Linked DNA regions of Sus scrofa. The protein of the gene in region 3 interacts with the protein of the main gene of each other region in a biochemical or structural test. Links are inferred from orthologs where the notes say so. Each region holds a gene or a part of one and is shown on either strand. Other genes may lie near its edges.

Region 1 (4,546 bases), on a different chromosome or scaffold from region 3:
GATCCTTAATCCACTGAACGAGGCCAGGGACTGAACCTGCAACTTCATGGTTCCTAGTTGGATTCGTTTCTGCTGTGCCCTGGGAACGTCAAGAAATATTAGTTGGATGAACAAAGGGACTGGATATTTGAGCTGGGCTTTGTAGAATGAATAGGTGTTGGCCAGTGAGATAGAGCAGGGCTCAGAGACACGAAGACATGTTTGTCCAAAGAACATTAAGTAGTATTTCCGTGTGGCTGGAACAAAAGATACCACGTAAGATGAGGCTAGAAAGGCTGGTGTAAGCACCAAGGTTGTGCAGTGCCACATTAAGAATGTGGATTTTATTGTGAAGCACAAAACCCTTTGAGAGTATTTAAAGAGGGAAGGCTTTCGTCAGATTTGTCGTTTTAAAAGGTTACTCTGGTCACTGGTAAGTACGGTTGAATCTGGAAGACTGAAAGCCGCTCTAGTTGTCTAGGTGATGGCAGTGAGTGAAGAGAAGGGCGAGATCTTGGGAAATATTTAGGAGACTCTACAGGACTCGGTGACAAATTTGATGAGCGTTGAGAAAGAAGAATGGGGGTTTCTGGCTTAGTGTACTGCTGAATGGTGGTCCATTCACCAAGACCAGAAAGTAACATGAGTCACAAGTTTTGGGGAATATTGTAGTAGGAACAGTCTACATTCCAAAGGGCTTAATGGTGCTAAATTGCACTTACTATTATTATAAAACGGTGACTCAGATCAAGTTACCCATACACAGGTACAACTTAAGGAGAAACTGTGGCTTAGAAATGTTAAGATCCTATCACCAACATCTGTACAGCTGGAATCTGAAGCAAGGCAACTTAATTCCAAACCCTTAGTCACTAACGTTGTTTCAGTTTTGGACATGGGGAATTTGAGGTACAGTGCAAACATTTCATTAGGAAACGCAGAATCTGAACTCAGGGAAAAGGTTTGCGTAGAATGCGACCTCCGTTGGTGTAGGAAGGCGCGAAAAGCTGCCCATTCTTTTCTACCAGAGCACAATAGTTGAAACCTCCATTAACATTTCTTTGCCCCTCCTCCAAGAAAGCCAACAGTGTATTAAATGTCCAGTTCTGAGGTCACAGGATATGGGGTAGCTTCCAAACTCAGCGCTTGGCAACAAGCTAGCAGATGCAGTGGTGCTTTATAACCAAGAGGACCACAATCCTATGGGATTGGCTGTCTTTTTCGACCCCGATTCCACCACTGTCGCCCCTTAACACCTCCCACAAACATCCTGGGGAAAGCCCGCCTTAAAGGAGCCTGCAGCTGTAGCGAGCGATAGCACTCGAGGAGAGACGGGGGCGCAATGACGTCATGCGGCAGCGGGTGATTCCCCAGCCTCTGGCGTCACGCGCCAATGACGTCATTCCAGGCGCTGGCCCTCCCCCAGGCCTGGGTTGGCTTCGCTCACGTGGGTCGGTCCAGTCCTCCCCGCCCCCTCCCACCTGCAGGAGGCTGGGCGGGCCTGGCTGGGCCGGAGCCTCGGCCTCGCGGGGGAGGGGGCGGGGGGCCGGTGGGCGAGGCGGTCCGCCCGGCCCGGCGGCGTACAATAGCTCGGCGGAGGCCGAGGCGGGGGCCCGGGCCGGGGCTTCAGCTGGAGACCCAGGTGTCGGTAGCACCGCAGACGCCCCCTCACGGTTTCCCCCCACAGCCCCCTCCCCCTCCGCCCGTCCGTCGCGCCTCCCCGCCGCCTCCCTCAGCAGCTCCGCCGTCCTACTCGACAGACGCTTTCTCTCAGACTCTTACCCCCTCTTTTGCGGAGCCCCTCAAAGAACCCTCTGTCTCCCCACCTCCTCCCCCGGAGGCCAGTCGAGCCCCTCGCCTCTCCAGCGGCCGGAGCCGCACCTCCTCAGCGGCGTCGCCGGGCTCCCTCCCTCCCCCACCTCACCCCCGGGTCGCTGACCACCCCCGCCCCCGCCCGGTCCGGAGCGGACTCCCCGGCACCAGCGAGGCGGGGAGGCGCCGAGTGCGCGGCGGCGGCGGCTGAGGCGGCGGGAGGGGGAAAGTGAAGCGGCCCCTCGCACACACTCGCGCGCTCGCTCCCCCGCTCGGCCGCCGCCGCCGCCGCCGGCGTGGAAAAGGAGGAGGAACCGAGTGGAGCCGAAGCTAAGCGCGGAAGGTGAGAGCCGGCCTCCCGCGCGGTACCCTTGGCGTCGCGCGGTGCGGGGGCGGGGGCGTCGCGGGGCGTGGGGCCCATTCATTCCGGCTGCAGGGCTGGGCGGGCGGGGGGCGCCAGGTGAGGCGAGGCGGGGGCGTCGCCCCTCGAGGCTGGCCGCCGCTGTCGGACCAACAAAGGCTCCCCGTGCGCTCACCCGGGCGGCCGCAGGTCTCAGACGCCGGGGGGGGGGAGCTGAGGGACCCGGCGGCGGGCCGAGGCGGGGAGGGGTCGGGACCGCTGGTCTGGGTCCGGGACTCCCTCCCGAACTTTGCGGCCCCCCGACGGGGAGCCTAGCAAGGCAGCGTCAGATTCATTGTGCACGAAAGAAATCACCCCGGTCCAGGCCAGGGGGGCGGGGGATCACGTCTAGGGTTCAACTCCTTGAAAAATACTGGATGGTGTTTGACTCACGCGGCCCCTCCCCCACCCCGGGAAGACGCTCACTTGTGGCGTTAAAAACAAACTGGGAAAGGAGAATTGTGGCTGTTTCATGTTGATTATTCCATTTCAATAGGCGCTATTATATCCTTTACTGTCTGGAGTAGTTTCACAGCAGACATTGCTGGGGTGTTTTGGAAGAACACTGGAGACGTTCTGGGTGTTTGGAAGTGTGGAGAGCCAAGTGCTTGTTGTTTGTTAAGCCCTTTGGATAACTGTCTTACACTTTCTCCTCCCACCCCCCCGCCCCCGGAACAGTGAAAGGTGAAGGCAAGAGTTGGTACCCTGGTACCAATAAACATTTCAAATTCACTAGTTTAGCCTTTAAGAGTTGTTTCTGAGAAAATGTGTAATTTTGCCTCCGGTGTCTTTGGGCTCTCTCTCGACTTGGTCAGGAGAAAAAGGAGTCAACAGTAGACACATGCCTCATTGGTCTTAACTTGTGACTTCACCTACTTCCTGTGTGACCTTGAGCAGGTCACTTCCAGTCTTACCGTTCCAGGAACTTGTTTTTGTGCCCTCGAAGCAGGCGGGTATCCACCACCTACTTAGCTTTCAGGAGTCTGCGGAAGAATTACCCCCATTAGAAGTCTTTGCTGGCACCACCCCCATACTCCTCTCAGGCAAAACTTTCTCTTTGGGCCCCTCAGAGGCCTGCTTGGATTTCTACCACAGCACTTTTTTTGTTCACATTTGGTAAATCCTGAATCAGGTGCGAATGAAATCAGTCTCTCCTCAACTAGAAACTATACTTCTCAAAAAGGGTTTTGGAATCATGGACCCCGAAACATTCCCTGAAGCTTATCCATGTCCTTAACTTTTGTGAGCTCTTGGGTCTGTCTGGGAAATTTGCCTATTTAGTCATTGATTTACCCAACATTGCTGGGATCTGAAGAGCTACTGTTTCAAGTTTCCTGCTAGGGCTGTGGGGATTTTGAATCTATTAAGATATTCCCTGTCTTCACAGAGCTCAAAGTCTAGTGGGTGAGGTAGCCATGTAAACAGTGAAGGCCTTCCGTCCTCTCTGGGGGCTCCAGTTGTACAGGGAGCAGTGTGCAATAATTGAGGCTGCTGGACCTGTTTTACAGGTCTTGTCCTGGCCAAAGTGAGACCTGCGGGGAAGGTGGTGACCTGCCTCTCATCCATAAGATAACACTTGACAAAGAGCTTGTTCAGTTTAATTCAGTATACACTTACTCAGCACATGTTATGAGGTTCTGTGTTAGGTTTGGAGGAAGGAGTGCTTTCTACAAGGAGGGCACTGTATATCCAGAGAGATCTTTGTAAAACAAAAACCAATCATTTCTCCCCACCCTCAACTGGTCATTTGCTAAAGAAAAATTTTAAACTCTGATATGAGTAGGAACCTCTTGGAGGTTAGAGTACTGCCTACCTTTGCAGAGGCTCATTTTCTATAACCCTCTGCCCCCCTCTTCTCATCTCTGCTTTTGCATGTGTTGTTCTTTTTGCCTGGAATGCCACCTTCTACCTGCCTGTGGAGAAGCACTTGTTGGACCTCTGGGAAGCAGTCCCTTAGTTTCTCCTTCTATTATCTCCGTAGTAGAGTTGCTCTTCTCTATTCCATGGCTCATGTACAGACCACTCTTATAGGTCCCTATAGCACTCTATTGCAAATGTCTAAGTTTGTGCCTGTCTTTTCCATTAATCTGTGAATTTCTTGAGGGCAGGATCAGTTTAGTTTCAATGTCTACTGAAGTTCCTGGTGCTGAATAAGTGTTGGAAATGAATGTAAGAATGAAGAAGCAAGTCAAGACCCATAAGTTAGAGGTTACCTCATTCTTTGGTTAGAACAGTTTTCTCCAAGTGTGGTCCCTGCACCAGCAGCATCAATAAAAATTCATGAGAATGGTTAGAATTGCAAATTATGTGTCCTGTCTCAGACCTACAAATGAAACACTCTAGTGTTGGGGCCAC
Region 2 (4,299 bases), on a different chromosome or scaffold from region 3:
AGCGGCTCCGATGAGGCTGGGCACCGAAGGCATTCTCGCCGAGGCCGAGAAGGGCTATTTGCGAGGCACCTAGTGTGCCGCCTCCCCCACCCCCTCCGACTTCTGGACCTCCGTACAAACCCTTAGGCTGCCTCCACTGGTGAGTGCTGCTGGGGGCGGGGCTGGGCCCACCCTGGAGGGGTTCTCCCTCTGGGCTGCAGGAGGGAGGGAGGAGGGAGGCTGAGGGGTGACTGCCTGGGAGGGCCCCGGGCCCAGGCCCCCCTCCCCCTCTGGCCTGCCCAAGGCACCTGAAGCTCTGGGGACTTCTGGCTGAGGTCAGCAAAGGCATCCCCCAGTGCATGCTGGGTCTGCAGCAGGCTGTAGAGGTGGGCTGTCAGGGCCCGGCCCAGCTGCAGGACACTCTCATACTTGCGCTTCGTCTCACGCAGCAGCTCAATTTGCAGCTCTAGCTCCAGGTCCACAGTCCGGGAGCCTCGGCCAAACCGCTCTGATAACAGCTGCTTTGTGCACTGAGTGGGAAGTGGGGGAACAGGTCAGAGACCCTGGCGCCCGGCCCTGCCCCGCAGCAAGTGTCTACCCCGGCGTCCCCAGACTCCAAGTCTCAGCCCGAGATGATGGGACAGGAGGATCCGCAAGATGGGGAAGAGGTACCCGGGGGAGCTCAGGGGGCGGAGGAGGTGCGTGAATCCCACCTTATACGTGTTGATGCCCCATTTCTTGACGATGTCGAACTTCTCTCCAGCGATGCCCCGGGCCACCTCATCCCCGGGGCCAGCAGGAGGGGCGCTGTGAGATGGATGGCGGCCAGACCCTAAAGGACCAAGTTCTCTGACACCAGCCTCTCTCAGACACAATCCGACGCCTCTGTGGTTCCACCCACACTTCCCTCCCAGCACATGAAAATGACGCCCCGGAAGGAGCAGGGCTGGAGACTCACTAGGAGGAATTCATGCCTTGGACCCTGAGACCCAATCCCAACATACACCTGGCCTCCTTTTGACGTGGAGGTGAGGACTGGAAAGGGAGGTGGGAGGGGTTGCTCGTGTGCAGGGGCAGAGGAAACAGCGGAGACTAGGCTGAGAATGGGGTCGCTGACCATGGCTGGGCGCCCCTCGAACCGAACACCTGGCTGACATTCCCATGTGGATCCCAGTCACTGCGAGATTCAGGGCTGCTTGTTCCTCTAAATAGCAGAGTCTAACGTAAGACTCTGATAAGCCTCTCAAAGCTCCAAATCAGATTCAAGCTCCAGAGCAGGGGAGGCCTGGTGAACAGAGTTCTCTGCCTGACTCAGGTAGTGACGGCAGAGAAGGGACAAGTGGGCATATCTGAGGGACAAAGTGGCAAGTGGAGGCAGATGGACACCCCTGGGAACGGGCCTTGGGCTGAGATGCCCGCGGGTTCATCCTGGCAGAGGTTCCCACGAGCTCCAGACATGATTCACGCCTTCTTAGACGTATCCTATGCCCCCTGGAGCCAGTCCTCTTCCCCTCTCCACTCAATGCCCTATCCTGCTCTGATCATTCATACCTGTGGGGATGAGTCCATCACCAGAGCCCCCATAGCCACCAGACACAATGCTGGTTTCATTGAGGTTGGGTCCTGACACCATCACCTGCTGGAGGTCCTATAGGCCAGAGAAGAGGGGGGCTTCAGGAACATATGGGCAGCTGAAGCATTTTGGGGGTGAAAACAAGCTTGGATTGAAGCATCATAGAGAGAGCACACAAGGGAAGTCTGCACAGAATCAGAACAAAGATTGGTAAAAAGACTGAAGGAAATCAGGTGAGTTGGGGGAAGGCTACTGGAAGAAGGAGAGAGCTCAGGGTTTAAGAGTTGGGATTCCTCAACTGAAACAATGTGAAGAATCAAACAGAAGCACCTGCTCCAGCCCATCATCCTCAGGAAGCTGCCCCGCGTCACCATTCCCGTGGATGGGGATCTCCATTGTGGCTGCCTTCCCTAGGATCCCGTCCGTCATGGCGAGCGAAGGGACTGGAGTCAAAGTCTCCACCCCAGCGCCCTGCAAAGCCCAACACAGACAGTTCTGGAAACGGGCCAGTTCTCCGAAGAGGAAGGTCTCCCCTGCCCTTGCAGAGGCCGTCCCGGGGCTTCAGTGTGGTGGGGTCTGCCCACCACTCTTCCCTCGGGGCTTTGTCTTTCTCCCTTCCAAGGTGCAAAGTTTTACACACAGGCACCCAGGCCTCAGGTGTGCCTGACCAGAGGTCATGTTCTCATGACCCCCCCACCCCCACCCCCCCAGCAGTCCAGGGATCATTCATGCATTCAGTCCTTCCACAGACATTTAATGAGTGCCTACTACATGCCACGCACTATTTGAGGCAATGGAGAGAAAGCCTGTGCTCTCAAGCAGCTTATCCCCACGCAGGTATTCCTCCTCATCAGGAGACAATCCCTTTCCCAGCGCTCAGGTGCCTATCCCCGTTCAGGTATGTTCGCCATTGTTTGGCCTTTCACACTCCTCTAATGTCTCCTCCTCTTTCCTGCAGGTGGTCTCCCCCTCCTCCATCCCATGCACCCCCTCTTCCTGCCCCCACCCCCGCCCCAGGCCTTAGTTGAATCAGTTGGTGTAAGTTCCCGACCCCGGGGAAAAGTCCCTTTGCCCCAGGACATAGGGAGGTGATCCCTTCCAAAGTCAGTTAGGTCTCCCCAGGTGTGTGAGTCTCCGCCCTCCCCCCATACACCTGGGCGTCAGGTGTGTCCTCATCCTTTCCCAGGGCTCAGAAGCATCTTGCCCTCAGGTCAGGTTCGTGCGTTCACCTTGCCCTCGCCCATGCACGTCCCTCTCACCTCGGGCCGGGCCGCTCTTCCCCTCAGGGCGCCAGGCCCGGGCCGCGCGGGGATCTCGGGATCCAGTTCCCGTCGCGATCCTAGCAGCAGGTCAGGGACTCGGCGGAAGTGACGTCCTCTCCCGGGCAGAAGAAGCCGGCCACGTAGCCGATTATGAGGGCGGAAGTGACGTCGCGGGGAGGTGGGCGGGCGCTCCTTGAGCCAACCCCTCTGCCCCTGGGGAGCCATTGAGGTCACTTCCGGGGCGTTCCCTAGAAGCTGTAACGGAAGTGACGTAGGTTGTGCGCCGGCGGCGTGATGGAACAGCAACAGCAGCAGCAGCAGCAGCTGAGAAACGTGAGTGGGAGCTAAGTCGCTTAAGGGCCCTGCATCCAGCTAGCATCCCTGTTCGCATGGCGGAAACCCCAGAGAGCCAGGCATCCAAGGGCTGGGAACCACGGGCCGTGGTACACGGTCCTGGGAAAGCGCCGGCAGCGCGGCCTTGAGTTGAGACGTGGCCCCCTCTTCGCTGAGTTCCTTGTCCCCCTTCCTCCCCAGTTGCGGGACTTCCTGTTGGTCTACAATCGGATGACGGAACTCTGCTTCCAGCGCTGCGTGCCCAGCCTGCATCACCGAGCTCTGGATGCCGAGGAGGTTAGGTGGGGGAACTGAGTAGGGAAGTGCTCCTCGAGCCTCAGAGCTAACCGTGCACTGCTTCCCTCTCCCGTCAATTCCCCTACGTCCGGCCCTGGCTTCCCACGACCTCCGCCCTGAGGCTGGGGATGGGAAGGAGGGAAACGGACCTGACTGGACACCTTTGGCTTCTACTTCCACCCTGTCTTCCTTCCAGGAGGCCTGTCTGCACAGCTGTGCCGGGAAGCTGATCCATTCCAACCACCGCCTCATGGCCGCTTACGTGCAGCTCATGCCTGCCCTGGTACAGCGCCGCATCGCTGACTACGAGGCTGCCTCAGCTGTGCCAGGTGTTGCTGCTGAACAGCCAGAAGCCTCGCCATCTGGCAGCTAGCTGTCCTCAACGCTGAGAAGGGAGGCACTGGATGGACCCTCACGTTGAAGGAGCAGTGGACCTTGGGCAAGATGGAGCCTGTATGTAGAGAATGAGGAGTTGCCTGAGAGCTAGGTACTGTTGCTCCTTTTCCTGGAGCTAATAAACCTGCTGTAATCTGTGCGGTTGATATTCTGGGCAGGGAGAAGTTGCCTTCTGTGTGTGGAAGGAAAACCTCAGCATTCCCAGGCACCTGGTTAAAGGAAGGTCTGTGGGTACAGCTTTAAAATTGGCAACAAGACGCTGGTTCGTGCCCAGACGGCAGAGAAAATGGGAACTCTGTCCTTAAATCTGTCTGACTTAAATGGTTCGCTTAGAGATATTAAGGACCATGGATTAAGAAACCACAGGGCTTTTAGGCACTACCTCTTCGAAAGTCAGTAGCCCCAGACAGATGAAACCTATAGGACTTCTGGGTGTTCTAGAACGTTAACCACTCCCCC
Region 3 (4,258 bases):
GAGCTAGTCTTTCAGTTTTTATTGGAAGCATTGTGATAAACACTGGAAATGCTGCCACCTCTGGGGGGGCCTCCTCCACACGCGGTGGGGGTGGGGGAGGGGGTGCTGCGGGTCTTGGTGCGGTGGCACATTCAGGCCAGGCCCCGGCCTTGCTGCCCCGGAGGCTCACGGTCACAGCTCTGGCCTGGCCGCCTTCCTGGGCAGCCCCGTCCCACAGGCCCCGCTGTGTGGATGGGCCCCTTTGCTCTTGGCCTCCGGGCCTCGTGTCCGCGAGCTTAGCGGGAGAGCTTGGCTCCGTGCCGGCTGCCTCTCCCATGTCCTCCGCCGCCTTCGAGGGCACCTTGTCATTCTGCCGGGAGAGGAGCCGTCTGCGGCGGCTGAGGGAGGAAGGAGCTCCGTCTGCTCCCCAGGACTTGCCCGACCGGTGCCCCCACCACCAGTGACCTTCACAGGGCCCCTCGTGCCCCGTGGCCAGGGTGACGGAGGGATTCAGTGACCCTGGGTGGCGTAGACCTGCTGGATCGTCATCCGCTTGCTCCCTGGGAGGGTTGAGACACCGCCCAGATGAAGAATGAGTAACGGGTTATGTTGACTGTTCTCAGTTTTTACTAACCTCAAACCAAGTTCTCGTGCATTACTAGGTTGGAGAAACGTATGGTAAGGATAGACCCTCCAGGGGCAAAGACAAGCGCTTGCCGTATGTAAAACTTTCAATCGACTTCAGTTTCCAGCTTGATCTGTTCTCTCGTTTCACTTAGTTTTCCTAGGATTTCCCGTCGAGCCTCCCGGTCCTTGAGTGTTTGACCTCTGATTCACTCAAGGTTGAGGTCGGCTCGATGAAACGTGCTTTCACTGGAGCCCATGGTCGACCTGCTGGCCTGAATCAGAGCCGTTCCCAAGCTGCTTTCTCCCCTCCTCTCAGGGCACGGGGGCTTTGGTGGAAGGGGCCCTCTCCAGGCTGCTGGGGAGACGCGAGGCTTCACCCTGGCGCCCCGGCCACGGGCTTGGCGGGAGCGGGACTAACCACCCTGGCGGCCCTTCCCCCGCTTCGGTGTTGGGTGCGGGCCTGTCCGGCGGGCGGGCTGTGCGCTGCTGAGCTCACCGGCCCCGCTTGGAGGCGTGATCAGCCCAGGGCCAGAGGCCGTGGTGGTTCCTGGGCAACCTTGTGCATGCGCTCAAATTTCATGTCATTTACAAAACGCTGTCGTGTGGGAGGTCGCTCCCTTCCAGGTACAGGGTGTCAGCTGAGGATTGAAAGTGTGTGCACTTCACAAAGGAGTGTCATTGCCCTTTTCCAGGAAAATAGTTCATAAACCTAGCATTTTAGAAACTTTGGCTTATTTTTTTTTTTTAAAAAGGATGTGTAAACGTTTAAATCTCACCTTTTGCACAATAAAGTGCATGTTCTCCAGAGGCCCTGCTTGGGCCTGAGAAGCCCTGACAGCCGGCGAGACGCCGCTTTCACACGAGGCCGTCCTCCCTCCCGAGGGCCAGCGGGTGAGCGAGGACCTGAGACCCACCTTGGGCCCAGGGCCCTGACGGCCGGTCCTTCCTAAAAGCAGTGTAGTTGGAGCCGCGTGAGCCCCTAGAAGTGTTTGGACCTAATGTTCTGATGGGGACGTAATGAGAAACGTAGCGTTGTAGATGATGTTTTTGAAATGGATTCTACTTTTGAGGAACCGAGACCAGGTTTTAAAGAAATGCAGGCGTAGCACCTTGACACAGGATTTTGTCCCCAGGCAGGAACAGCATTAAGCTCCCAGGCAGAGCTGGAGTGATGGAAAGAGGCCTGTCTGTCTGTGGCCTCCAGTAACAGAGCGTGTCTTGTGCTCCACTCCCAGTCTCACCAGTAACTTGTGCTTCACGTGCTGGTTCTGGTCTGGGAGCGTCTCGACCAGAGAGGGTGCAGGGAGCCGGCTCGCGCCTCAGCTGCTGGTGCGCAGGACGAGCCGGGGCTTCTGGCGCTTTCCCCGCAGCATTTAGGAAGCAAAGTGACTTCGCCACGCCAAGACCATTCTCTAAACGCCTCCCTGTGTTTCTTTTTACAGGACGTATTCTTAATTTGCTTTTCTCTTGTGAGCCCTGCATCTTTTGAAAATGTTCGCGCAAAGGTAAGTGGGATATTTTATTTTTATTTTTTATTTTTTCGTCTTTTTGTTTTTTCTAAGGCTGCACCCTTGGCATATGGAGGGTTCCCAGGCTAGGGGTCCAATTGGAGCTGTAGCCTCTGGCCTACACCACAGCCACAGCAATGCGGGAACCGAGCCGCATCTGCAGCCTCCACCACAGCTCACGGTAACGCCGTATCATTAACCCGCTGAGCAAGGCCAGGATGGAACCCGCAACCTCATGGTTCCTAGTCGGATTCGTTTCCACTGCGCCACGACGGGAACTCCAGCAAGGTGACTTTAGTATGCAGAGTTCTCAAGTTTCAGGGCCGATGCAGAAGTGCTGGGTTCCTTGTTAAAATAACGAGGCAGTTGGGAGCCAGGTGAATAAAAATGACGGACTGGCGGCACCGGTGGGCTTGGTGGAGATGACGGCGGTGGGTCAGGGATGCGTCTGGCGGGGAGGAGACGGTAGAGCTGAGTCCTGAGTCCTGCTAGTTTGGTTCTCATCCTCGAATGTGTGAGGGGTTTTGAAATGACCTAAGAACTTGACCAGAAACCAAAAACAGAGTGGCGGGCGGGGGGCTGCCTCGCCGGTCCCACGGTGCAGTGGTTGGTGGTTCTGGAGGGGAGCCTGGCCGAGGGCAGCGTGCTGTCCCCTGCAGGAAGGCTCCGTGGCGACGCAGGGACTCGGGATTGACACAGCTTGGCACCGGTGTGGCCGTAATCGGCGGGAGGGCGGCTCCCACCAGAGTCGTGACTTTGCTCCTGTCCCCGCGCCTAGTGGTACCCAGAAGTGCGACACCATTGTCCCAACACGCCCATCATCCTGGTGGGGACGAAGCTTGATCTCAGGGATGATAAAGACACGATCGAGAAACTGAAGGAGAAGAAGCTGACTCCCATCACCTACCCGCAGGGCTTGGCCATGGCGAAGGAGATCGGTAGGAAACCCCGCGGCGCCAGGTCTGCTTGGCCCGCCAGAGGCCGGAGTCCCGCCCGGGGAGGTGGACCCGGGTCTGGCCGCCCCTGCAGAGACCCGGCTGAGCCGGGGGGTGGGATGGGGGGGCGAGGCCGAGGCTGAGAGGCCGTGTTCCGTCCGGCAGGTGCTGTGAAATACCTGGAGTGCTCGGCGCTCACGCAGCGGGGCCTCAAGACAGTGTTCGACGAAGCCATCCGAGCGGTTCTCTGCCCGCCCCCCGTCAAGAAGAGGAAGAGGAAGTGCCTGCTGTTGTAAACGCCTGGGGCCCGGGGCGGGGGCCCGTCCCGCCCCGAACCTTTGTCTGCTTTGCTCAAATGTGGAGCCTTCGCACTCAATGCCAAGTTTTTGTTACAGATTAGTTTTTCCATAAAACCGTTTTGAACCAATCAGTAATTTCTAGGTTTTTCTCTGTTTAAAGTGTAAGAGTTTAAACTTTCACATTCTATTAAAGTTTAGCCCTAAAATGACAAGCTTTCCTAAAGCCTTATTTTTCAGAAGCCCCTGTTCTTGCTCAGATGAAGAGTTGCCAAAATCCCTTGTGAGCCAAGTTGCGTTGTTGGGCTGAGAACACTAAGCACTAAGCTGTTGACAGAGACCTCTCTCCCTGCGAGACCGTCCCTTCCGAGGCCGGCGGCTTTCCACCGTGAAGGGCGGGCGTAGCGCCTCCTTCGCGAAACGTCGCCACGGAGCGCACCCTCGTCTATCCGCCCGTGCCCATGACCTGACGTTGTACTGTGCGTCCTGGCGAGGAGGTGACAGCGCAGCTCTCTGCATCAAGCTCTGATTGCGTAGTGAGGGTTTCTTTAAGCGATGAGTGTACTAGCTTTCGTGAGCCTTGAACTGAACTCCTGCTCACGTGTTCCCTCCGGCGAGGTGTTCTGGCCGTGGGTGCGCGGGGTGGAGCGTGGGGAGCGCCTGTGATCGAAGGATGAAGACAGTATTTTGACAAGATACGGAGGTTAATTTACACTACATTGTACACGAAATAGTGAAACTATTGAAAGTGTCACGGGTACAAGTTTTAAAAGGTTGATTGCTGTCAAGTGAGTAGATGATGAAAGGCTGGTGTTATCAGTTAGTGTTTTCTTAAGCTCTTGCTTTTTCTTCACCCTGCCCTTCCCTCCTGAAATTGGGCGTTGGAATCCCTTTTTGACTTGGTCCTTCTCAT
Region 4 (3,800 bases), on a different chromosome or scaffold from region 3:
GGTACCCATCTCAAAAACTTCTCAATGCAATCATTTTTAAAAGGGGGAGTTGGCTAAAAGAACTTACTCTAGGCTTTTTTTTTTTCTTTTTAGGGCCGCACCTGCGGCATATGGGCCAACTGAAGCTGTAGCGGCCGGTCTACACCACAGTCATAGCAACGCCAGTTCCAAGCCGCATCTGCAACCCACACCACAGCTCACGGCAACACCAGATCCTTAACCCACTGAACGAGGCCAGGGATCGAATCTGCATCCTCATGGATAGTAGTTGGGTTCGTTACAGCTGAGCCACAAAAGGAATGGCCTAGGCTTATGTTTTTGGCAACAATTCTAAGTAGCCAGAAACCAACACACCACCGGCACACTCTGAGCTGACAGACTCCCCCCACTGCCTTCTAAGCCTGACAGGGTTTCTAAATCTGGCCGGCCCTTACACCTCAAGGTTTCCCAGTGGAGCGCTTGTTAGAAATCAGCTCTTTTACTGAACAGCTCAGGCCCATCCCCACGATGCAGGGGTGCTGGCCGAGGATGCGCCCCCATGAGGGACGGACTGCTCAGCCGAGCCAGTCCGGGGCCCCGGCCGTCCCTGGGCACTCACTCGAGTTGAGCGTCTGGCGCGTCTTGGCGCTGGTGCAGTAAGCCTCAATGACCTTCAGGATCTGGGCGTCCTCCTCCAGCGCAGCCGTGCCTGCAAGGACACACGACACGTCACCGGCCAGAAACAACCAGCACAGGTAACCCAGGAATGCGGATCATTAACCAATGACAGGGACAGCTTACAGGTGTTTTCCAATAGTCACAAAACAGTTACATCCTAAAGGACTTTTGTTTGTTTCTGCTGTTGTGTTGTCTTTTTAGGGCCACACCCGCACATATGGAGGGTCCCGGCTAGGGGCAGAGTTGGAGCTGTGGCTGCCGGCCTACACCACAGCCACAGCCACACTAGGTCTGAGCCGCATGTGCGACCTGCACCACAGCTCACACTACCACCAGATCCCCGACCCACTAGGCAGGGCCAGGAGCCGCACCTGCATCCTCATGGACACCTGTCAGATTTGCTCCCGCTGCACCACAACGGGAGCTCCTGTTCTACGTATTTTTTATCTGCAACCTATCTGGCAAAGCGTTCCTACGCTAAATACACATGAGCTGCCTCACTCACCCCCAAGGCACAGGATGCCCTATCCTGACAGTGAAAAAAGGCACGAAACAGGAACAAACCATTCACAAGAGGACACAGTAGGAAAGAAAAATGCTCATTCTCACAAGAAAAGAAGTGAAAATTAAAACTCCTGTTCTGGAGTTCCCGTTGTGGCGCAGTGGTTAACGAATCCGACAAGAAACCATGAGGTTGCGGGTTCGGTCGCTGCCCTTGCTCAGTGGGTTAACGATCCGGCGTTGCCGTGAGCTGTGGTGCAGGTTGCAGACTCGGCTCGGATCCCCCGTTGCTGTGGCTCTGGCGTAGGCCGGTGGCTACAGCTCCGATTCGACCCCTAGCCTGGGAACCTCCATATGCCGCGGGAGCGGCCCAAGAAATAGCAACAACAACAACAACAACAACAAAGACAAAAAGACCAAAAAAAAAATTAAAACTCCTGTTCTCACACATCCCCTGACGAAGACGAGAACGCACGCGCGTCCTCAGGAGCACGAGCGAATCCGGAATGGAAAAGTCCCCTCCAGCCTCATCTGGGAGGGAGGAGTGACCCCTGGAAGGGCCACCTGACCAAGGGGGCTAAGGCGTCAGCAGCAGCACTTCCTCTCGTCGGGAAAGTCCTGCTGGACGCGATCCAGGACGTGTGCGACGGCTCCACCGTAAACCGTGGGTTCCCCCAGCCTGGCTCCACCGGCCCGCGAGGTCACAGGCGTGTACAGGCTCAGACCCTCAGGCCCAGCACACCTCACACCGTCGGGGCTTACACTCTGTTTTCTGTTCACTAGGCTTTCCCCTTCTCTGAGATCCTACCTATACATTTTGAAAAAACAACGCAGGAAGGATGGAAGGCCGAAGTGTTTATAAGCTGTGCCAACAACCTCCACACCATCTGCCACGGTAGGACACACACACACGGGGCAGGCCCAACACTGCCCAGAGGTAGGCGTCAGCACCAAGAAATGACTCTATTTGGTCCCACATGGTCCAGCCAGCATCTTCTGTGTGGGAGGCCGAGAGGCCGGGGCCTAAAGGCCAGGCTGCCTCTGGCTCCTCGCAAGTTGGCACGGGGGCGCTCAGGCCGGCCCCACAGCAGGGCCCCCGGCCACGGGGTCCCAACCCGGCCTGGGCTCTGCGGCACACGGGGGCTGTGGGGTCGGTACGGCAGCGTCCATCGCTGGCCCTGTGGCTTGGGCGCTGACTGCCGCCCGAGACTCCAGGAAGCCGCCACCCCGTCCCCACGCCGTGCCTGCCGGCCCGGGCCCTCGCCCGCACTCACTCTTCCTCAGCGCGAACTCCTCGTCCGAAGGCTTCCGCTCGGGCTTGCGCTTAGGGAGCAGCTTCTTCATGGTCTTGGGACTCTTGCTAAGATCCTGGGGAGAAGGGGGAGGACGTGCTGAGCAAGCCCTGCAGGGGGAGGCCCGCGGGCAGAGGCGCGGTGCTGCCGTGACGCCGTGAGCTGGTGGGCACTCGGCCGGTGGGCAGCGCCCCTCCCCCCACTCCTGATTTTCCTCTGTCGGCCGCTAGGCGTTCATTTAAAACGAACAGAGAAAAGCTGTCCGGTCCCCTGGACCCGCCAGCTCGTGGCCACACCCAGCGGAGTGCTCCCTGGCCTCCAGGCAGTGGGCACTGAGCTTGGCCCTGTGGGCACAGACACGGCCCCTCCGCCAGGGGCACGGAGCGGGCCCCGCACCTCGGAGCAGGAACAAGAACGAAGGCAGACCCCTCACAGGCCCCAAGCAGCTCATCTATCTTTCAAGTCGCGGCAGAAACACGGGGATTCCCTGGGCGGACGCGCGGCCGAGGCGGAGCTCACCTCCTTGTAGCAGAGCGCAGCCGAGGGCCGCAGCGGCGGCGCGGGGCGCAGGCAGCTCAGGCTCCACGGCTTGGGGGTCTTCGGAGGCTCCAGGGGCCCCCAGTTGATGGTGGTGTGCGGGGTGCCGTGGTGGGAGGGGTGGGGCAGCGTGTGGTAGGTGGGGGTCAGCGGCGCCGGCTTGCTGTCTGCGTGCTTGCTGGACGGGGTGATGGAGTGGGAGGGGAGCTGCGAGGACAGGGCGGGGAGAGCAGACACACCGGTCACCGTCAGAGGACCCCCGCCCGGCATGTTCGCTCCGCTCAAACCGTCCCAGGGAGGTAACCCCGCATCCCGAGCACCTCGCCCAACCTCCGGGCACTCCGTTCCTGGGCCACCTGGGCCAAGCGGGGAGCCGGTGCCCCTGGCCCTGCTTCAGGTCACGGCCGAGCTTGGGTCACGAACAGCAGGATGCTGGGGGGCCAGACCCAGACAGGCCACCCACCACCTTTAATCGCCACCGAGTCACATTTGCGAAAAGGCACTCCGTTTGGTAGAGATGCCCGAGTCTTACAAAAGGAGGCGTCCCCTGCGCGGGCAGCGTGGTGATGAGGAAGGCAACACGCGGCCCTGTACTGCTCACTGCCTGCTGATCCCGGGCTCGGCCAAACTAGGGACCGATCCCCGTGTTTGTAAAAAAAAAAAAAAAAACAAAGAAAATTCCTGAAATCCCCACCACGGCCCAGCGGGTTCCTCCAAATGCAGAGGCTCGAGGCGGCAGCTTCGACCCCTGCTGGGCACAGGGGGTTAAAGGATCGGGCATTACTGCAGCTGTGGCTCGGATTCAATCCCTGG
Region 5 (4,234 bases), on a different chromosome or scaffold from region 3:
ACTATCCCTTGCTGGCCTTCTCTACCAAAGCTCACTTATAGGGTACATGATCTGTAATTACATCTGTCTACCCTGGGGCCTTGAAAGAAACTTAAGCACCAGAACAAAAGAAATGAACCACTGACAGCAAATCCACACTTTTAAGAATAAGACCACAAGGTCTTGGAGCATGTGAAAAAGGAAAACAGCAGTTGTACATTTACTTCACAAAGAATGCAGAGGACATTGCCCTTGGTAAACAGCCTTTGAATATTGCCAAATGGATGGACCTATACCCAGAGCACTACCAAGGGGAGAAGAGACCCAATTCATATATAAAACAAAACCGGTGAAGAACCAGTGAAATGGTAAGGCCAAAAACTTCAAATCTTAAAAATGCTATTTCTCCCCTAGAGCTGGTAGTGCCCAAAACATGCACCATAAGCATAAAACTGCAAAACACAAATATGGAAATTTTTAGGATACGTATGTGCCCATCAGATTGTTTCATGATAAAGTGCCATGAAGGCTACTTGCTCCTGTGAAAAATACCGTATCCTCGGAGTTCCCATCGTGGCTCAATAGTTAACAAATCCGACTAGGAACCATGGGGTTGCGGTTCAATCCCTGGCCTTGCTCAGTGGGTTGAGGATCTGGCATTGCCATGAGCTGTGGTGTAGGTCAAAGGTAAGGCTCAGATCCCACGTTGCTGTTGCTGTGGCTGTGGCGTAGGCTGGCAGCAACAGCTCCGATTAGACCCCTAGCCTGGGGACCTCCATATGCCATGGGAGCAGCCCAAGAAAAGGCAAAAAGACAAAAAAAAAAGAAACAAAGAAAAATACCCTATCCTATCTATACTTACTTATTTCTTCCAACTACCAGCCTCCTACAGGCACATCTACAACATACCCAGAGATCTTTATTTTTGTTCACACCATTATCAGCTCCCTTCTCCCAATCTTCTCTCCAGCCAGCCAATCTTTACCTCTTTGCTTCTTCCAAATGACACAGGTACTCATAAGCCACATTTTGACGTCTCCTTTCATCCATCTCCTCTGCAGTAAGTCTCTCATTATCCAGGACAGCTAGAACATGAAAGAAAGAAGGTCAGCACAAGAATCTGTACCCTTCCTGAGTGATAAAAGAATGCCACAGCATCAAATTCCTGCTAGCCACCTAGAGTCAGGGTAATGTGTGCACAGCCAGGCATCCTACAGGGACTTTCCTAAGACAGGAACCACAGAGTTCGACCATATGCATCCTAATCTTTGTTTAAAACTACAATATTATGAACATGTACTAAATTTCAGGGTGACTTGAAAAATACTGACTTGAGATTTTGGTCCAAATCTGTGCTGGTCTATCCGCCAGACTCCTTCTAAATCCAGAGCTCTTCATGTTTTTCCCTCTTGTATTAATAATTACAGCCAGCAGTCATTGAGAAACTAAGTGGTGTAATTGTGATCTGCATTTTACATGCATTCTCTTAGGGAAGCCCCACAACAATCCTGTGATTATCACTCCCATTTTACAAATGAGGAAAGTGAGGCTGGGTGATCTTAGCCCCATGGCTTCTAAATGGTGGGGCCTGGATTCACACCCAGTCTGTCTCAAAAGCCTATGAGCTTAACTTCAAAGGAATCTGCTTCCCTTTATGGGCACCCAGGATATGGAATAAACTCCAAATTCCTGGGGTTGGCATTCAATGCCTGTCCCAGTTTAGCCGGACTGCTTTGGGAAACTCCTCTCCCTCCCCTCCCCCTACCACTGTGCACTCCACACCGCTCAGTTCCCAACCCGCACAGGGCTCTTCTGCTCGTCAATACCTTAGTTCACACTCTTCCTCTTCAGGTCACGTCTCAGGCCCCACCCTGCCCTGTCAAAACGCACAGCATCCTGCAGGGCTCTGTTCAAAAGTCCTCTCTGGGTTCCTCCTGCCTTCCCCAGGCCCCTCCCCCACCCCCACCTTATAGTGTAAGTCCAGCTGGTGCAGGGCATCTCTATCACTCCTTATTATCATTAGATAGTACACCTGCCTGTCTCTCTGATAAAAACATTCTTTCAAGGCAGGGTCTGGTCTTACTCATCTTTGTCACCAACGTGACACAATACCTCGTCGTATATAACTGTTGAGTGAAAGTATCTGAAAACACAACATTATTCATAGAATATAAAATAAAATCGAAAACCTCCAGACTCCAAAGGCCTCTCCTTTGCCCAGTGGTAACTAATCCGCCCGCAGTTCAGTGGGACAGGTACAGAAAATGAGGTTCGGAAAATGAGGAAGTCGGAGGTTTGGGGTTTTTTCCCCTCCACTTTTGAAATCCTGCAGAGGGATCCCGAGAAAGCTGAAGTGACCTGCCCAAGACCGCACCTTTCAGCTAGCCTGGGGCCGGGCAGGTCTGGACCCTGAGTCTACCTCGCAGGCAGCACTCGGGCAGCACCTTCTCACTACGCCCGTGCAGAGCCCGCGTCTCCGGTCCCTGGGACACGCCCTGCCCCGTCCTCCTGCCACCTCACCCTAGGCCGTCTCCCCAATCTTGGCCAAGCTGAGTAGCGGGAGGCGCTGGGTGGGGCCCTCCAGCCGCAGCGCCCGGGAGAAGGCGGGGAGGTCGCCTGGGTCCCCCCCGCCGCCGCCTCGGAGACCGAGGGGGCGCGGGTTAGGGTCCTTGCCGTCCGCCACCCCGCGACACCGGCTCTTCCGGGTACGCGCGGCCCACAGCCACCCTGCCCCACCCGCCCAGCGAGCCCCCGGGTAAACGGCGCCTCGGAAGCAGCGAGCCCGGCCCCGAGACCCCCGCGCTGCGGAGCCCGCACTCACAGCCATAGTGTGGCCGAGCCACGCCCAGTCCGTCAACTTCGTCCGTGGCGGACATGGCGGCCGAGCCCGGGTCTCTGCTCAGGAAGCAGCAAAACCTTGGAGGCGAGGGCGGCGGCGGCTGCTGCTCCTGCACAGTGCGCGGGCTGCCCTGGTCCCGCAGGCCCCGCCCCACGCCACCGGCCCCACCCGAAGGCCACGCCCCACACCGCCGGCCCCACCCGCAGGCCCCGCCCCAGCGGCCCCGCCTTGCCGCGCTGACCAGAGTGAGCGAAAGGAGGCGGGGCCTGACCCTCCCAACGCCTCCACTAGCCCCCGCCCTGCGCCCGCTACGCCCTCAAGAGGCGGAAGGAAGAAGGTGGAGCCTGCCCGCCAATCTTGCTGTCAGCTCCGCTCCACTGACAAGGCCCCGACCCGTTCTGGATCCCTGCCCTCGCCGGCCGCCGCCCCAACCGCACCTCCTACAAAAAGGCCACCAGTGTCGGTAGCTTGAAATAAAAAATGTGGGCACCCTCCTTCTCCTGCTTGCCTAGCCAAACTCTTCTGCACCCGAGTGCTCAGGGAAGGCCTCCTTTGAAGTGGCTCAGCGTGTTGTTGTGAACAGAGGCAAGACCCAAACTGCCTTAAGGGGCTGCACAGTCTGGCAGTCTGACTCAGTCTTCTCCCAGATTCGCCAGCAGTCGCCAGATTTGAACTGCTTAACTCCCCTAAGTATTTGAGAAGTGGATGCTAGAGCAGGAGAATTGTCCAGACTTCCTTCCCTTAGTTTCCTTGCCACTATTCTTTGCAAGTTCTTTTTAGGGCACTCTTTGCCTCTTTTAGGGATGCCTCTTCCCTTGCAACTTGTGGCCTGCCCTGAAAATATTGGAATTCAACGGAATTTTGTGCTCAGCCCTCTTCTGTTTTTTCTTTGCCCGCTTTATCCACGCTCACCTTAAAATGCTAAGGAACTCTAAATGTAATTCTCAGACCAGACTTTCTAGAAGCCCTGGCTCATCGTTTTCCGCTGTGTAATGGACATTTTAACCTGTGAAGCCCACGAACATTTTAAACGTGTCAAACACTGACCCTCCTCCTGTTAAAATCTGTTAATGGTGCTCAGTTCTCAGTCGAAACTTCGCGCTTGGTTCACGCCCTACAGGCAATCGGTATTTTTTTCTGAAGTGTCTTGATTTTGTCTCCATCACTACTGTGATTACATTGTTTAGATTGTCATCACCTCTGTTTTCCCTCATGCCAACCAACTCCCTGTTCTTTCTAAAGTGCAAACACGGCCGTGTTCCTCCATTTTATAGTCTTTTGCTAATACTCCCTTCAGGATGTGGTCCAACTTCCTTAGCATGCCAAATAAGCTACTTCACAACCTGGCCCCGGGCTTTTTGCTCAAGCAATTTTTAGTTTATCCACTCTTCCTTCAAAATATTAAAGTGAGATACT
Region 6 (4,228 bases), on a different chromosome or scaffold from region 3:
TCCTAGTCAGATTTGTTAACCACTGAGCCACGACAGGAACTCCCAAATTATGCATTTTCTAGAAAAATCCATGACCAGAGATCCCAGTTATTTGTCATTCTGTTGTGCGGCAAGATGGCATGAGAAGAGTCAGGTGGGATCATTAATTGACTGTTTGTGGCGGGCTCTAGTATTTAATTGACCACTGTGTGCTGGATATTGTGTTCCAAGTTTTAAAGGCATCCTTTTAACGCAAACTATCCCTGACATGGCGGCATTACCCCACTTCGCAGTCGAGGTAATTGAGGTTTGGGGAGCGCTAACTTCCCCAGGGCCACCGAGGCAGGGAGAGTGGAGCAGGATTTTGAGCCCACCACAGCACATCTTTCATAGGAGTGACAAATTGGATTTGAGCACTGCCCTCCCTGCCCTCCTGTCCCTTCCTATCCAAACGGCTGACCACACAGCCAACCAGAACCAAACCCCCTTCCACAAGCCTCCACTTCTCCCAACAGTGACAGGCTTTCAAATCCAGCCTGGACCTCAATGATTGTAGTTTGGAAAACAGCAAATTGTGTTGGCCCTTCTCTCTTTTAAAAATGAGAAGCTAATGTCATTTTCTGTTTGAAATCTTGCCCATTTCTTAATAGAAGGACTCAATATGGGTCAAATCCTTCCTTTCCCTTTGATGCTTGGCTCGAGCCCCTCCCAGCCCTCCGCTCCCATAGCGCTTGGAACTTTGGCATTCATTTGGCATTGCTCGTCACTCGCCTGCTGACCTTCCCTGCATTCCTCCCGCAGCCTGTTAGCAGGATACGCTTCCCTGTGTCCCAGAGTCTTTGGTACATTAGGCACAAAATGCCTGTTTCTCAACGGTTCTTTTCTTTTTCTTTTTTTGGTCTTTTTAGGGCCGCACCTGCGGCACCTGGAGGTTCCCAGGCAAGGGGTCGAATCAGAGCTACAGCTGCCCACCTACGCCACAGCCACAGCAACGTGGGATCCGAGCCACATCTGCGACCTACACCACAGTTCATGGCAACACCAGATCCTTAACCCACTGAGCAAGGTCAGGGATCGAACCTGCAACCTCACGGTTCCTAGTCGGATTTGTTAACCACTGAGCCACGACGGGAGCTCTTCTCAATGGTTTCTTAAAGGATACAAAAAAGCAAACTATTCCTCTCCAGGGAGGAACTTGACGGGTGTGGATCCTGGCACCCAGAGCAAAGCCCTGGCTCCTTTTTGCGTTTTCTCCAGTTTTCCATGACTTGGGGATGTTAGTGTGTCCCTGTTCTGAGAATCTGGTATTCGTTGCCTGCATGAACAGTTTGAGTCAGACCACAGAGTCCTCCCCATACAGGACAAGAAGCTCCAGAACTTTCCATCTATATGTGCCAGCATCACCCTGCCTGTGTTTTGGCTCATCTGTGAGTTGGATGACTCTCCTTGAAGCAGGACAGCCCCATCATCCTGCTGATAACAGTAATCAGATCTCATAGCAAAGACCCTAGTTAGGCAGGGCAAACAGGGAGGCAGCCCGGGTTATTGATTTGTGCTGTGGAAGGTTCTTTTCCATTGAAGGTTGAATATTTTGTGTGGAAACCTTTGTATTCCCTGTACCCAGCATATTTCTTCTCTGCACGTTATGGGAGGTAAGTCCTTTTGAGTATCTCCGTTATCTTATTTGCTTAGTCAAAACCTTGGAAGTAAGGTTTGGGAAACACATTAGCCATATTTAGTGTATGCAGTGGGCTCAAAAGTTTTACTCATTTTAGATAACATAGGAGAAAGTGTAAGTTATTTCATAGTGTACCAACCATTTTCAATGGTGTTTTTTTCCTATCTTTCATATTGCCTGCTATTTAAAAAATAGTTTCTGGAGTTCCTGTCATGGCGCAGTGGTTAACGAATCCGACTAGGAACCATGAGGTTGCAGGTTCGATCCCTGGCCTTGCTCAGTGGGTTAAGGATCCATCGTTGCCGTGTGCTGTGGTGTAGGTCAGAGACTCGAGGCTCAGATCCTGTGTTGCTGTGGCTGTGACATAGGCTGGCAGCTACAGCTCCAATTAGACCCCTGGGAACCTCCACATGCCACAGGAGCAGCCCTAGAAAAAGGCAAAAAAAGACAAAAAAAAAAAAAAACCCAATAAAAAATAGTTTCTCCCTGGGTACCAACATTAGCTATAGAGGATGTTTTTCTAGATAAAAATGACTTACTATGCTGTGCGTTTTCAACTTAATCTTTGCATTTGGAAAATAATACTCTCTGGGTAGCTTTGAAGATAATAAGAGACATGAGAATGCACAGATGCTTCTGCACCAGTCCTAAGGAGGGCTTTTCCAGATGTGGAATGCCGCTGGGGATTTGATCTGGCTTGGATAATTGACAGCTGCCAGCCTGTAATCGTTTGTGCTCAATTGGCGCTGGGGCCACAGGAGGCCACACAGCAGCTGGGCTGTTGGGATTCAAGTCCCTGCACATGGCACTGACTCTCCCCTTCCCACCCACCCCCCAGCCATCTGCAAGGACCCCACTCCCCAAAGCAGGGTGCACTGCTCCAGGAAGGGAAGGGAGCCTGTAACTTTTGCCTGGGAGATGAGAGAAAACATCTTGATTCACTCCACTGGACCACAGTGGCTAATCAGGGTTAGCTTTTTATTGCATTGACTTTGGCGTTTTAATCTTAAATGATTCAGAGACCAGTTCTTAAGATGAGGCAGGACCATAAATTAAAAGATTGGAGGATATCAGCCAAATAGAAAAAAGAATCCTCTTTCAGGGCCTTGAAGAAGGGCCTGTTCCTTGTCCCAGCTCTTTCATTTTAGTGACTGTTAAACCTTATACCGAAACCAAGTTAATGGCTTTCTGCCCCTTCATCGCATCCTGGTTTGCCCGCCGGGCTAATACCACCTGCCCTCCCTCCTTCACAGGCTCATTCTGAGGATCAGAGAAGTTAATGCAAATGCTCTGTCCACTGTCAAAGCAATTGAAATAGAATGCACAGATGCGTCAAGACACGGTCTCTGGTCGGCACTGTCTCTGTCTTGCTAATGCTCTTCCTCTTCTGAATTATGGCCTCCATCGTAAAGGCTTCTGATAATAGTAATAGCTATCATTTGCTGAGCCCTTTTTATGTGCCAGGCGTTGAGCTAAATGCTTTCCAGGTCTTGTTTTATTTAATCCTCCTGATAACCTCACCGACGGGTACTCATTTCTTCAGTTCATATAAACCGGCTTCTGAATCCATCATGATCTTCCAGACCAGCCCAGGCACTTGCCTTTCATCTGCTTTCTAAATGAGGGAGCTACATCCTTCATCTTCAATTTTGACGTGTTTAAAATGATTTCGAATGTTACCAATAGTTGAATCAGGAGTTCCCGTCAAGGCTTAGTGGTTAACGAACCTGACTAGCATCCATGAGGATGAGGGTTCAATCCCTGGCCACGCTCAGTGGGTTAAAGATCTGGCGTTGCCATGAGCTGTGGTGTAGGTTGCAGATGCAGCTTAGATCCCATGTTGCTGTGGCTCTGGAGTAGGCTGGCGGCTGCAGCTCCGATTAGACCCCTAGCCTGGGAACCTCCATATGTTGTGGGTGCAGCCCTAAAAGACAAAACGACAAAAAAAAATAATAATAGTTGAACCATTTTTTAATGTTGGAATGCACCATAAAGGCAGAAAGCCTGGTGTCCAATTGTAGTCACTGAGGAGAGTGAGAGAGCGAAGAGAGGGCAGAGTCGGGGGAGAGGAGAGAGAGAGAAAGAGACAGAACACATGATGAAGAGAAAAAGATGCAGTTTTTTTGTGTGTGATGCGAATAGTGATTTTCTAATATTTTATATGCAGCTAATCCTTAAAAGAATATCATTAATTACTTAATGGGCTTTTGAGGTTCATAGAGCAGGAGCTTTGGAAGTACATGACCTTGATAGTCTTCATAAGAGCTTAGAAGATGCTTCAAGTGAGACAGTACCCAGGACTTCAAAACTTTGCTGAAAGAGAAGTGATTAAAATTGGGGGGAGGGGGTGTGGACAAGACGCGTGGAGGTGGGATGAGAAGGGGGTTTGAAGTGAAAAAAATGGCTTCAGAAAATCCGTTCCCAAACAACTCTCCTTGTCATCACCTTCCTCGCCTTAATGAATGGAGTGCATTTTGACTTTGGCCGTGGCAGGTCCCTGTCTGACTTGGACAGTGAGCGGACAAGTTTGAGCCCCTGGTTGTTGTCAGCATCTAGTGCAGGCGCTCTGGT
Region 7 (3,800 bases), on a different chromosome or scaffold from region 3:
CCATGGCTTTCATCTCCGAGGGCTCACTCTCATTACGCTGCAGCTTCCGCTTCGAAACAGATGAGGATTTTCCCAAGTTGAAGAAGGAACGCCAGCTGCCCACGGGAGATTTTTTCATTTTATTTTGAGGCCTCCTCCTATGAGAGAAAAAAAAATAATCTCTATCCAGATTTCCCAGGGTCTATCTTTCCCTCCTAAAAAGGAGCAAATGAAGGACAGAACCACACAGCCTGGAGAGCCACCGCTGATGCGGTAAATATCCACCGTCCCAAGGCGCACGCCACCCAGTGTGGCTCAACTGTGCAGCGAGAGCAAGAGAGAACACGAAATTAAATGTATGGACTTTGATAACAGGAACTAGTTTCACGAAGATAATTTTTATACAGATTGTCATATTTAGATCCAACGTCGCAATCTGTGAAATAAGTGAGAAAAGGCAATACTAAAACTTCAAAAATAAAACGGAGTTGAAGAAAATGATTTCAGGCGTGGGTAAAGAGAGTTAAGCCAAAAAAGAAGAAAAGTATTAAGAATAATAACTGACATATATTGAATGCCAAGCACTATGCTAACTGTATCTGTAGCATCTCATTTAAGTCATATAAAACCAAATAGGATAGGTACTATTACCTTCATTTTACAGCTAAGGAAAAAACTGTGATCTAAGAAGTATGACTTCCTTAATGTAAACCTAGTAAATGATGGGGTGAGGGCTCCAGCTCAGGGTTATCTGTATCCCAGCATCAACACTCTTGCTCACTGTTCTATAAAGAAGTTCATGAGAAAATTATAGAGGTAAAATATAAATTCAAGAAGCTGAATTTGTCAGAATGACAAAGTAAAAGAGTATGTTCTAAGTTTCTGTTGGTGGGACTTTTTTTTTTTTTTTTTTGGTCTTTTGTCTTTTTAGGGCCGCACCCGTAGCATATGGAGATTCACAGGCTAGGGGTCCAATCGGAGCTGTAGCTGCCTGCTTATGCCAGAGCCATAGCAAGGCGGGATCCGAGCCACGTCTGTGACCTACACCACAGCTCACAGCATCCTTAACCCACTGAGCAAGGCCAGGGATAGAACCCGTGTCCTCACGGTTCCTAGTTGGATTCGTTAACCACTGTGCCACAACAGGAACTCCTGGCGGGCCATTTTAATCAAGAGAAATGAAAGGACATTGGAGAGGTACACTAAGATATGGAAACAACTTCTGCACCTTTATTAGTACTCCCCCATCCTGGGAGTTGAAATCCTGACATTCCTGTGTAATAGCTAAAGGAGTAACTGAGACCAAAATGAACTTGCACCCATTAGTCTTTCCACGATAACTTGGTAAAGAAGATACATTTCTTTATAGAAACAGAGAATCAGAGCTAGAAGGGACACTGAGAGAGTGAACAACAGTGGTTCTCAAGTTTTGCACATATCAGAACCACTTGGAAGGTCTTTATCAAAAGGTTGTTTGCTGGACTCCACCCCAGACTTCAGATTCAGTGGGTCTGGGGTGGGCCCGAGAGTGAGCTGCTGGCCAGGAGCTCGCACTGTGTGAAGGGCTGATCTATCCCAGACTTAATGGGAACCAATGTCAAACAAGCCATTATTTATTCATTACTTTTGGAATAAGCTGTCACAATAGTTCATTTCTTTTTTATTTTTTTTTTGTCTTTTGTCTTTTTAGGGCTGCACCCACAGCATATGGAGGTTCCCAGGCTAGGGGTCGAATAGGAGCTGTTGCTGCCAGCTTACGCCAGAGCCACAGTAACACCAGATCCGAGCCACATCTGCGACCTACACCACAGCTTGTGGCAATGCCAGATCCTTAACCCACTGAGCAAGGCCAGGAATCAGACCCGCAACCTCATGGTTCCTAGTCGGATTAGTTTCTGCTGCGCCGTGATGGGAACTCCAATAGTTTATTTCTAAATAAACTTCTCAACAACATATTTCAGAGAGAAAATCACAGCCTACAGAGTGGAAGTATATCATTTTTCCCAACAATTTTCCCTTGATAACAACTGACTTTCCTCTCCTTTACAATGACACAACGTCGTAGTGCTTTTTGAGACTCATTCATGCCAGTCCCTATGAAGTAATACCCATAGCAGAATGAACAGGTTTTTCTGGGACTGGCAGAAAATTAACTAAACATAAAAGTAACAGTAAAAGAAAAGAATACATAGCCAGAAACTCAAAATTTTAAGGAGGATTTATTGAATTTTACCTTTCAAGTGGGAACTCAATTATGGTATGAAATTTTCCCTGAAGTGCAGCAGGTCCTTCTCCTACTTCGATATATTTATTTTCAGTTACAATTGGAGAATTGACCTGAGCTTGAGTTCGCGCCTGGGCTTCCTCCAGAGTCAGCAGCTTGGTGGATGGAGACGAAACCAGCAAGGACTTGGGTCTTGAAAGAGAAGCTTTAGAACGGAAAAAAGGAAAAAAAATTAAATAAATTTCTAAAAAAGAAAGAAAAAAAACCACTGAAATAGTCAAACTTTACAATTCAGGAGAAAAATATAAATGTGTGAGTGAGTGTATAACAATCTGGTTATCTGTCCACCCATCTGCCTACCTTTCTGTATTGTTTTAATTTTCTTAAGTTTTTAAAATGGGAGTTCCCATCATGGCTCAGTGTTTAACGAATCCGACTAGGAACCATGAAGTTGTGGATTCAATCCCTGGCCTCGCTCAGTAGGTTAAGGATCCCACATTGCCGTGAGCTGTGGTGTAGGTCACAGATGCGGCTTGGATCTGGCGTTGCTGTGGCTCTGGTGTAGACCATGGGCTACAGCTCTGATTAGACCCCTAGTCTGGGAACCTCCATATGCTGTGAGTGCAGCTCTAGAAAAGGCAAAAAAAAAAAGAAACGTTTTTTAAATGGCAAAAGTAATAGAGCCTTATACTAAGTGAGGAATAGAAGATGACATACCAGGTTATTAAAAGGATATACATATATGTATATGTATTTCCTGAAGTCATTTAACTATTTTCCTTTCTTAAAAGATAGCAGGCAAGGCCTAGTATCACTCATGCATTTTTAGTTTCAGAAGGAATTTTTCTTCTGCAGCTCTATATTGTACCTTTACATATATCAGTGGTAGGTGACATGATACGCTTTTTCTAATGTACCCTGAACTTAGATCGTAATAGGTCTAATATTTAGTATTCATTAAAAATGCATAAAATAACTATTAAATAGTGCATTAGAGTAAACAGATATAAGTTGGTTACACTCTATCTACCAAAGGCCCATTTATTAAATTGAGGAATCACAGTTTCCCAATCTCTTAAAAGTTTCCCAATCTCTTAAAAGAATCACCGTTTCCCAATCTCTTAAAAGTTTTTTTTTGTTGTTGTTGCTTATCCTTTTAGGGCCGCACCCATGGCATATGGAGGTTCCCAGACTAGGGGTCTAATCGGAGCCGTAGCTGCCGGCCTACGCCAGAGCCACAGCAACTCGGGATCTGAGCTGCATCTGTGACCTACACCACAGCTCATGGCAACACTGGATCCTTAACCCACGGAGCGAGGCCATGGATCGAACCCGCAACCTCATGGTTCCTAGTTGGATTTGTTTCCGCTGCTCCACGACAGGAACTCCAGAAGTTTTAATACATGTTCCTGGTAGTAAACGACATCTGTTGGAGCCATACCTGCCCCCTCCTGAATGACAGCACTGATTTTCCCACTGAAGAGCACGTCAACATGATTGAGAATGAACTCAACAACCACAGACTGAATTCTCACTTCCATGAAAGCTGCTGTTCCACTGAAGCAGGCAGATTCTATCTGTTTTGATCTGTAAAGGT

Evidence for each region.
Region 1: the proteins of RAC1 (region 3) and PAK1 form a complex in vitro, tested with the Homo sapiens proteins (17 studies listed by BioGRID and IntAct). The link is inferred for Sus scrofa from reciprocal best matches to the Homo sapiens genes RAC1 and PAK1.
Region 2: the proteins of RAC1 (region 3) and ARFIP2 form a complex in vitro, tested with the Homo sapiens proteins (2 studies listed by BioGRID and IntAct, with this or other methods). The link is inferred for Sus scrofa from reciprocal best matches to the Homo sapiens genes RAC1 and ARFIP2.
Region 4: the proteins of RAC1 (region 3) and ARHGEF7 form a complex in vitro, tested with the Homo sapiens proteins (2 studies listed by IntAct). The link is inferred for Sus scrofa from reciprocal best matches to the Homo sapiens genes RAC1 and ARHGEF7.
Region 5: the proteins of RAC1 (region 3) and IQGAP1 form a complex in vitro, tested with the Homo sapiens proteins (3 studies listed by BioGRID). The link is inferred for Sus scrofa from reciprocal best matches to the Homo sapiens genes RAC1 and IQGAP1.
Region 6: the proteins of RAC1 (region 3) and CHN2 form a complex in vitro, tested with the Homo sapiens proteins (2 studies listed by BioGRID). The link is inferred for Sus scrofa from reciprocal best matches to the Homo sapiens genes RAC1 and CHN2.
Region 7: of the proteins of RAC1 (region 3) and ARHGAP32, one has a biochemical effect on the other in vitro, tested with the Homo sapiens proteins (3 studies listed by BioGRID). The link is inferred for Sus scrofa from reciprocal best matches to the Homo sapiens genes RAC1 and ARHGAP32.

The regions. Positions count from the first base shown.
Region 1 is NC_010451.4:11,970,065-11,974,610, reverse strand, and holds the start of PAK1 (serine/threonine-protein kinase PAK 1), read left to right. Parts: upstream 1-1,536; 5' UTR 1,537-2,134; intron 2,135-4,546. UniProt on the Homo sapiens protein: Protein kinase involved in intracellular signaling pathways downstream of integrins and receptor-type kinases that plays an important role in cytoskeleton dynamics, in cell adhesion, migration, proliferation, apoptosis, mitosis, and in vesicle-mediated transport processes.
Region 2 is NC_010451.4:3,248,678-3,252,976, reverse strand, and holds the start of ARFIP2 (arfaptin-2), read right to left. Parts: upstream 2,967-4,299; 5' UTR 2,812-2,966; intron 2,024-2,811; 5' UTR 1,982-2,023; coding exon 1,883-1,981; intron 1,628-1,882; coding exon 1,531-1,627; intron 812-1,530; coding exon 693-811; intron 510-692; coding exon 288-509; intron 1-287. Other genes in the region: TIMM10B (mitochondrial import inner membrane translocase subunit Tim10 B), read left to right, coding at 3,109-3,147, 3,349-3,444, 3,641-3,817. UniProt on the Homo sapiens protein: Plays a role in constitutive metalloproteinase (MMP) secretion from the trans Golgi network. May have important functions during vesicle biogenesis at certain cargo subdomains, which could be predominantly utilized by secreted MMPs, such as MMP7 and MMP2.
Region 3 is NC_010445.4:4,782,352-4,786,609, reverse strand, and holds the end of RAC1 (ras-related C3 botulinum toxin substrate 3), read left to right. Parts: intron 1-641; coding exon of another isoform or gene 642-701; intron 702-2,048; coding exon 2,049-2,111; intron 2,112-2,892; coding exon 2,893-3,052; intron 3,053-3,214; coding exon 3,215-3,345; 3' UTR 3,346-3,557; downstream 3,558-4,258. UniProt on the Homo sapiens protein: Plasma membrane-associated small GTPase which cycles between active GTP-bound and inactive GDP-bound states.
Region 4 is NC_010453.5:77,514,316-77,518,115, reverse strand, and holds part of ARHGEF7 (rho guanine nucleotide exchange factor 7), read right to left. Parts: intron 3,195-3,800; coding exon 2,970-3,194; intron 2,527-2,969; coding exon 2,433-2,526; intron 689-2,432; coding exon 599-688; intron 1-598. UniProt on the Homo sapiens protein: Acts as a RAC1 guanine nucleotide exchange factor (GEF) and can induce membrane ruffling. Functions in cell migration, attachment and cell spreading. Promotes targeting of RAC1 to focal adhesions. May function as a positive regulator of apoptosis.
Region 5 is NC_010449.5:53,019,252-53,023,485, reverse strand, and holds the start of IQGAP1 (ras GTPase-activating-like protein IQGAP1), read right to left. Parts: upstream 3,008-4,234; 5' UTR 2,856-3,007; coding exon 2,801-2,855; intron 1,065-2,800; coding exon 965-1,064; intron 1-964. UniProt on the Homo sapiens protein: Plays a crucial role in regulating the dynamics and assembly of the actin cytoskeleton.
Region 6 is NC_010460.4:43,439,492-43,443,719, reverse strand, and holds the start of CHN2 (beta-chimaerin), read left to right. Parts: upstream 1-1,187; 5' UTR 1,188-1,624; coding exon 1,625-1,631; intron 1,632-4,038; exon of another isoform or gene 4,039-4,228.
Region 7 is NC_010451.4:55,918,156-55,921,955, forward strand, and holds part of ARHGAP32 (rho GTPase-activating protein 32), read right to left. Parts: intron 3,791-3,800; coding exon 3,645-3,790; intron 2,409-3,644; coding exon 2,213-2,408; intron 138-2,212; coding exon 1-137. UniProt on the Homo sapiens protein: GTPase-activating protein (GAP) promoting GTP hydrolysis on RHOA, CDC42 and RAC1 small GTPases. May be involved in the differentiation of neuronal cells during the formation of neurite extensions.